2 linked regions of the Macaca fascicularis genome follow. The protein of the gene in region 1 purifies or fractionates together with the protein of each later gene. This does not show direct contact. Links are inferred from orthologs where the notes say so. Each region holds a gene or a part of one and is shown on either strand. Other genes may lie near its edges. The genes, in order: NAF1 and NOP10.

Region 1 (3,824 bases):
TTTACCTTTCAGAACCATTTTTCTTTTTTGTATATACTATGTTCTCTCATGCCTCTGTGTGTGTTGTTTCCATTCCCTGAAAATTCTCTTTATTTTCATAGCTGACTCATTCAGGTGTTTCTATTGGGTTACCCATATCAAGAAAGTCTTCCTTTTCCTTTTTTCTCTTTTTCCAGCACTATAATAACATAGCATTAAGTCGTAGCACTCGTTCATTGTACATTTAATCTGTTTTCTCAGAAAAAGGAGTCTTCTATCTGATCTCCATACTTTCTAGTGTCTGTCAGATACCAGATTTAACCTGAGTTTTAAAATTTTATCCCTTTAAGATCAGTAATGAGAAATAGTGCATTAGAAGGCATACAATTATTTCATGTTTTCAAATTAGATTTCAGAATCTGAAGTGTATGGATTCCTGTTGATGGAGGATTTGATCTAGAATGTATTCCAGTGAAGCCATACTGAAAATTACATACAAAGACTTTCATATACATTTTATTTCTTCTTTTTAAATGTGTATCCATCCATACATAGTGGGCCTGCTTTCATATATTTTTTGTATGAAACATAATAAAAGTTTTCTGGTGTTAATAATAGAATAATAAAATGCCTGAACGTAGGAATGTAGATACCATGGCAGTCATAAGATATATAGCTCATAAATCTTGGTTTCCTCGGTAGATTATAAGAATGAATCCTAATTCTTAGTTGCATATGAGTTTTACCACCTTTAATTTTTAAATAATTTCCTCTTAGGAGTTGGATCATTCATGTATCTGCTTATAAAAGCCTTTGCCATGTTGGTCAGGTTGGCGTGCGTCTGTAACCCCAGCTACTCAGGAGACTGAGGCAGGAGAATCGCTTGAACTTGGGAGTCAGAGGTTGCAGTGAGCTGAGATCGTGCCACTGCGCCAAAAAAAAAAAAAAAAAAAAAAAGCCTTTGCCTATGGTCCTATCTAAATAGCTTCCTCATGATTTGTGTACCCTTATTTTCCCTCATTTATTTATAGTTCTTGCTATATACTTAAAATTATATTTAAAAAATAAGATGGTAAACCTGTAAAGAATGAACCTGTGAAATGTTTAGAACAGTGCTTGGATGTGTATTTTGAATGAATGAATTATGGAACATTGTCTTCCATTTTTTATTGGCTCTGATAATGTATATAATTTACTTAGTCCTTGATACTCTTACCTTTGGCACTCTTTTGCATCTGATACTATGATGAATCTTAAGTCTAAACTGGAAGTCAGACTCATATCTGAAGGTTGATTACTGACCTGTGTTAATTAAAGAGTCATTAAGCATTTATCAAAAAATATTTTTCTACCATGTCTAATTCAGATATAGAAAATATTAAGTATCAAAAAGGCAACTTTTTTTAGTCAATGATTAGTAATAGGCTTGTTTTCTTCACCTCCAAGTATGTACTATTGAATTGGCAAATCCATGTAACATAAACTTACTATATACTTTTCTCTGCAAGGCCTTAGATTTCAGTGATGATGAAAAAGAAAAAGAAGCCAAACAGAGGAAAAAATCTCAGATTCAAGGCCGGAAAAAACTCAAATCTGAATTTAATGAGCCAGGTGAGTGAATACAATATATATAGTCGTTTTTTTATCTTCATTTGCATCTATATAAGTTTATCAATAATAAAACCAAGGGAAACATCTAGGTTTTCTCTGTTTACCTCCTAGCATCCTGCTAACATTTAGAGCCCTTACATAGCAGGAGGTGTGGTAGTTTTATGAACTTAAGCAGTAAAAATGGCTTCCTGAGGTAACAGACAGACTAAACTTTGTTACTTGTGCTTGTCAGCACTTTTTTCTTAAGATACCTGTTTGCTTCCATGATCAAGTACTTGATGAACCCCTAAATCACAGTATCTTATTTATAAACATGCATTCCCTTTACCTTTTTTAAAAAGTTAAACTTTCTGAGATAACCGTAGATTCACATACAGTTGTAAAAATAATAGGAGAGGTGTTGTTGTATGCCCTTTATTCAATTTCCCCCAGTTGCAACATCTTGCATAACTATATATGGAACACTATCCCAGCCAGGGTATCGACAGGATACAATGAAGCTATACAACATTTCCATCACCAGAGAGCTACCCAGTTGCCTTTTTATAGTCACAGCCACGTCCTTACCACTCAGCCCCTCCTTTACTCATGGCAACATTAATCCATTCTCCATTTTCATATATTTTGTCATATCCAGAAAATTATATAAGTGAAGTTATACAATATAGTATGCTTAGGGAAAGGCTTTTGCCACTGAGCATAATATCTGTGCGTCTGCTGGAAACCATCATTCTCAGCAAACTATCACAAGAACAGAAAACCGAACACCGCATGTTCTCACTCATAGTGAGAACAATGAGTGGGAATGGAACAATGAGATCACTTGGACACAGGAAGGGGAACATCACACACCGGGGCCTATATTGTGGGGAGGGGACCAGGGGAGGGATAGCATTAGGAGATATACCTAATGTAAATGAGGAGTTAATGGGTGCAGCACACCAACATGGCACATGTATACATATGTAACAAACCTGCACGTTGTGCATGTGTACCCTAGAACTTAAAGTATAAAAAAAAAAAAAATCTGTGCATCCACCCACATTACTGCATGTATCAATAATAGTTTGTTCCTCTTCATTACAGAGTAACATTTCATGGCATGAATTTACCAGATTACCTAACCATTCATCCACTGAAGGACATCTAGGTTGTTTCCATTTTGGGGTTATTAGGAATAAAGCAGCTATAAATATTTATGTACAGTTTTTTTGTGAAAACAGATTTTTATTTTTCTGGAAGAAATGCCCAAGAGTACAATAGCTTGGTTGTATAATAGTTGCATTGTATGTTTAGTTTCCTAAGAAATTGCCATATTGTTTTTCAGCATGGCTGTACCATTTTACTTTTTTTTTTTTTTTTTTTTTTTTTTTTTTTTTTTTTTTTTGAGACAGAGTCTCGCTTTGTCGCCCAGGCTGGAGTGCAGTGGCGCGATCTTGGCTCGCTGCAAGCTCCACTGCCTCCCAGGTTCACGCCATTCTCCTGCCTCAGCCTCCCTAGAAGCTGGGACTACAGGTGCCCGCCACCACGCCCGGCTAATTTTTTTGTATTTTTAGTAGAGACGGGGTTTCACCGTGTTCGCCAGGATGGTCTTGATCTCCTGACCTTGTGATCCGCCCGCCTCGGCCTCCCAAAGTGCTGGGATTACAGGCGTGAGCCACCGCGCCCGGCCCCCATTTTACATTTTTATCAGCAATGGATGAGTGACAATTTCTTTGCATTTTCTCCCGCATTTGGTGTTATCACTCTTTTTAATTTTGGCCATTTTGCTAGGTTTGTAGTGCAAATATAATTGTGGTTTTAATTTGCATTTTCCTAATGGCTAATGGCATTGAACATCTTTCCATGTGCTCATTTACCGTCTCTATCTTCAGTGATATGTCAGTTCATTATCTTTTGCCACTTTTAAATTGTATTTCTGAATTTTTACTGTTTAGTTACGAGAATTTAAAAATGTGTATTTTAGATGCTCGCTTTCTGTCAAATATGTGGTTTGTTCATGATTTGTCTAGTCTGTAGTCTTTTCCCTCTTTTAAGAGGGCCTTTTGCAAGACCAAAGTTTTTTAGTTTTGAGGAAAACTATCAATTTTGTTTATGGAATCTGATAACTTCCTGCTTAGCTTTAGATCCTAATGATTTTCTTCTGTTTTTTTTCCCTAAAAGTTTTGTAGTCTGTTTTAAATTGTACACTTGTGATTCATTTTGAATTAAATTTTGTATGGAATGTGAGGTTA
Region 2 (3,519 bases), on another chromosome or scaffold:
TTCAAGCGATTCTCCTGCCTCAGCCTCCCGAGTAGCTGGGACTACAGGTGACCGCCAGCACGTCCCGCTAATTTTTGTATTTTTATTAGTAAAGACGGGGTTTCACCATATTGGCCAGGCTGGTCTTGAACTCCTGACCTTGTGATCCACCTGTCTCGGCCTCTCAAAGTGCTGGGATTACAGGCCTGAGCTACTGCACCCGGTCACAAACCATATTCTTTTTTTCAGACGGAGTGCCACTCTGTCACCCAGGCTGGTGTGCAGTGGCGCTATCTCAGCTCGCTGCAACCTCTGCCTTCCCGGCTCAAATGACTCTCCTGCCTCAGCCTCTGAAGTGGCTGGGACTACAGGCGCCCACCACCACACTCAGCTAATTTTTTCTGTATTTTTAGTAGAGACGGGGTTTCGCCAGATTGGCCAGGCTGGTCTCGAACTCTTGACCTTGTGATCCGCCCGCCTCAGCTTCCCAAAGTGTTGAGATTACAGGCGTGAGCCAACGCGCCCGGCCAAACCATATTCTAAAAAAAAAAAAACCTTGCAGGTTTTTCTGGTTACACAACATATATGCCAACGCTTTTGTCATTATAAATAAGGCGTAATGATGATCTTTGTAATTATATTTTGGTTCTCATTTTCATTTCTTTAAACGAATAAGGAGAACTTCTATATTCTTTAAAAAATTGTAAAATCTCCTAGAAGGTGCACTTTATTACGCTATTATTAGCTACTCACCACTGTAAGAAAGAGCGCTGAATTTGCGGTAGGGACCTAAGTTTAAATCTTGGTTCGACCGCTGAAACATACTTCGTTTCATAAAATAACTTTACGCTATTTTCGCTTTACGGAATATTGATACTCAACATGCATTCTTTACCGCCAACGTTTTGAAATGGAGCAGGGAAACTGGATGTAAAAGAGGGGAGGGAAGAAAACCTCTTCCTTCTTCCCTAGGGCAAAGGGGCTCTGAATCCTGGAGCCCTTGTTTCTTCAGGCACTGGAAACTCACTGCTCCTGAAATGGGTATGTATCTTGAGATAAAGACAAGCTTCTATACGTCAATGTTCTATCCACATCCATCCCTACCCCCCTCTAGCGCCGTGTACCTAGCACACAGTAGGCACACTCCACGTGTTTTAGCCTGCAAAGTTGCAAGTGTGGCCCCCCAAGCCAAGCCCTGCCCTCGTGCGCCCCCTTCTGGCTAGCTGAAAATAAGGCAAAAATTGACTACATTTTCCGGCGTGCCAGGAGAGAGACTTCCGGCTATGCAGGAAGGAAATTGACGAACACGTGACGCGGTCGGGCGGACCCCTGCAGACGGAGCAGCGGAGCGAATTGGGACCTCTGGCTTACGAGCAGTCATGTTTCTCCAGTATTACCTCAACGAGGAGGGAGATCGGGTCTATACGCTGAAGGTGAGGAGAGAAAACAGGTTGTAAATAGGCATGGCGAGAAATGTAGATGGGAGGAATGGGTGAGGCCATACACGGAGTTACCTAGCTGGGTGGAGGGAACCAGAAAGTCCAGAACCGAGGTGGGGGAGAACCGGGAGCGCGCGACGAGTTTTTTATTTAAAAAAAAAAATTGGCCGGGCGCAGTGGCTCACGCCTGTAATCCTAGCACTTTGGGAGGCCGAGGCGTGTGGATTACCTTAGCTCAGGAGTTAGAGACTATTCTGGGCAACACGGTGAAACTACGTTTCTACTAAAATACAAAAAATTAGCCGGGCGTGGCGGCGTGCGCCTGTTTTCCCAGCTACCTGGGAGGCTGAGACAGGAGAATCGCTTAAACCCGGGAGGGGGAGCTTGCAGTAAACCCGGATAGCGCCATTGCACTCACTTTTCTTTTTTTTCTTTTTTTTTTTTTTTTTAAGACAGGGACTCGCTTTGTTGCCTAGGCTGTAGTGCCTCGGCTCACTGCAACCTCCGCCTCCTGGGCTCAAACAATCTTCCTGCCTCAGCCTCCCGAGTAGCTGGGACTACAGGCGTGCGCCACCACACCTGGCTAATTTTTGGTTTAGGGTTTTTTTGTTTGGTTGGTTGGTTTTGTTTGTTTGTTGTAGAGACGAGGTTTCGCCATATTGCCCAGGCTGGTCTCAAACTTCTGACCTCAAGCCATCCTCCTGCCTCGGCCTCCCAAAGTGCTGGGATTACAGGCGTGAGCCACCGCGCCCAGCCTTTTTAAGTTTTGTATTTCTCTATTTATTTGTACAACTTTTTGAGCTGATCATTGCATCTTCTGTTTTCATGTTTGCCCTTTTTCGCGCTGTCCCCACCCCATCACTCCTGTACTGACATTCATTCTCTATTCCCGGAGCAGAAATTTGACCCGATGGGACAACAGACCTGCTCAGCCCATCCTGCTCGGTTCTCCCCAGATGACAAATACTCTCGACACCGAATCACCATCAAGAAACGCTTCAAGGTGCTCATGACCCAGCAACCGCGCCCTGTCCTCTGAAGGCCCCTTAAACTGATGTCTATTCTGCGGCCTGTTACCCCTCGGAGACTCCGTAACCAAACTCCTCAGTCTGTGAGCCCTGATGCCTTTTTGCCAGCCATACTCTGTGGCATCCAATCTCATCCTGGTGATTGAGCATGCTTGTGTGAGGCAGTCATGGTGGCATCACCCATAAAGGGAACACGTTTGACTTTTTTTTTCGTATTTTAAGTTACTACCAGATTATTAAAGATAAAATGATTTGAAAAGCTCTTATTTTGTGTTGTTGGAGGAAAGGATTGGTAGTATTGTTTTAAAGGGAGGGAGATGATGGACGAGAGTACTCCAGAGAGTTGCAACAATACGACTTGGAAGAAAAACTTCAGTCCTGTAGCAAGAGTGGTCATGTGCTGTTAGTGGTAGGAGGGTATTGGGGAAGAAAGATTAAGACTTTCACAGCTGTCAGCATTCACTGAAAAATACCCCTGTTGTCACGTAATTTCTCATCCCTTGAAATAACATTTTGATTAAAAATGGAAGAGTACTTGAAAAAGTAATAGGTATATTATAGAGAGAAGGCAGTGAATTGAAAGAAGACCAATATTTCCTTTTTGTATAACTTTGAGAAAGTTACTTAACCTGTTTAGTCTGATTTTTCTCCTTATTAACTTATCTTTGAACTCATTGATTTAGTGGTGGGCTTTTTTTTTTTTTTAAGACAGTCTCACTCTGTTGTCCAGGCTGGAATGCAGTGGTGGATGACTACAACCTCCGTCTCCCAGGTTCAAGCAATTCTCCTGCCTCAGCCTCCCAAAGTGCTGGGATTGTAATCCCACCTTGAGATTACAATCCCACCTTGAGACTACACCTTGAGCCACCTTGGCCGGCCTAGTGCTATGGATTTTAAAATTGTTTTGTGGAGTCTGTATTTTAATTCTGCAATCTTTATTTTCTATGATATCAAAAATTCTAGATTCCAGAAGCAGATATAACTTAAATTAGCACAGACAGATGTGATTTATGAAGACATGCCCTGGAAAGACTTTTTTTTTTTTTTTTTTTTTTGAGTCAGGGTCTCACTCC

Evidence for each region.
Region 2: the proteins of NAF1 (region 1) and NOP10 purify together in Homo sapiens (co-immunoprecipitation; 6 studies listed by BioGRID and IntAct, with this or other methods). This does not show direct contact. The link is inferred for Macaca fascicularis from reciprocal best matches to the Homo sapiens genes NAF1 and NOP10.

What each region holds. Positions count from the first base shown.
Region 1 is NC_088379.1:168,082,150-168,085,973, reverse strand, and holds part of NAF1 (H/ACA ribonucleoprotein complex non-core subunit NAF1), read left to right. Parts: intron 1-1,487; coding exon 1,488-1,590; intron 1,591-3,824. UniProt on the Homo sapiens protein: RNA-binding protein required for the maturation of box H/ACA snoRNPs complex and ribosome biogenesis.
Region 2 is NC_088381.1:10,628,394-10,631,912, reverse strand, and holds NOP10 (H/ACA ribonucleoprotein complex subunit 3), read left to right. Parts: upstream 1-1,278; 5' UTR 1,279-1,358; coding exon 1,359-1,412; intron 1,413-2,316; coding exon 2,317-2,457; 3' UTR 2,458-2,705; downstream 2,706-3,519. UniProt on the Homo sapiens protein: Required for ribosome biogenesis and telomere maintenance. Part of the H/ACA small nucleolar ribonucleoprotein (H/ACA snoRNP) complex, which catalyzes pseudouridylation of rRNA.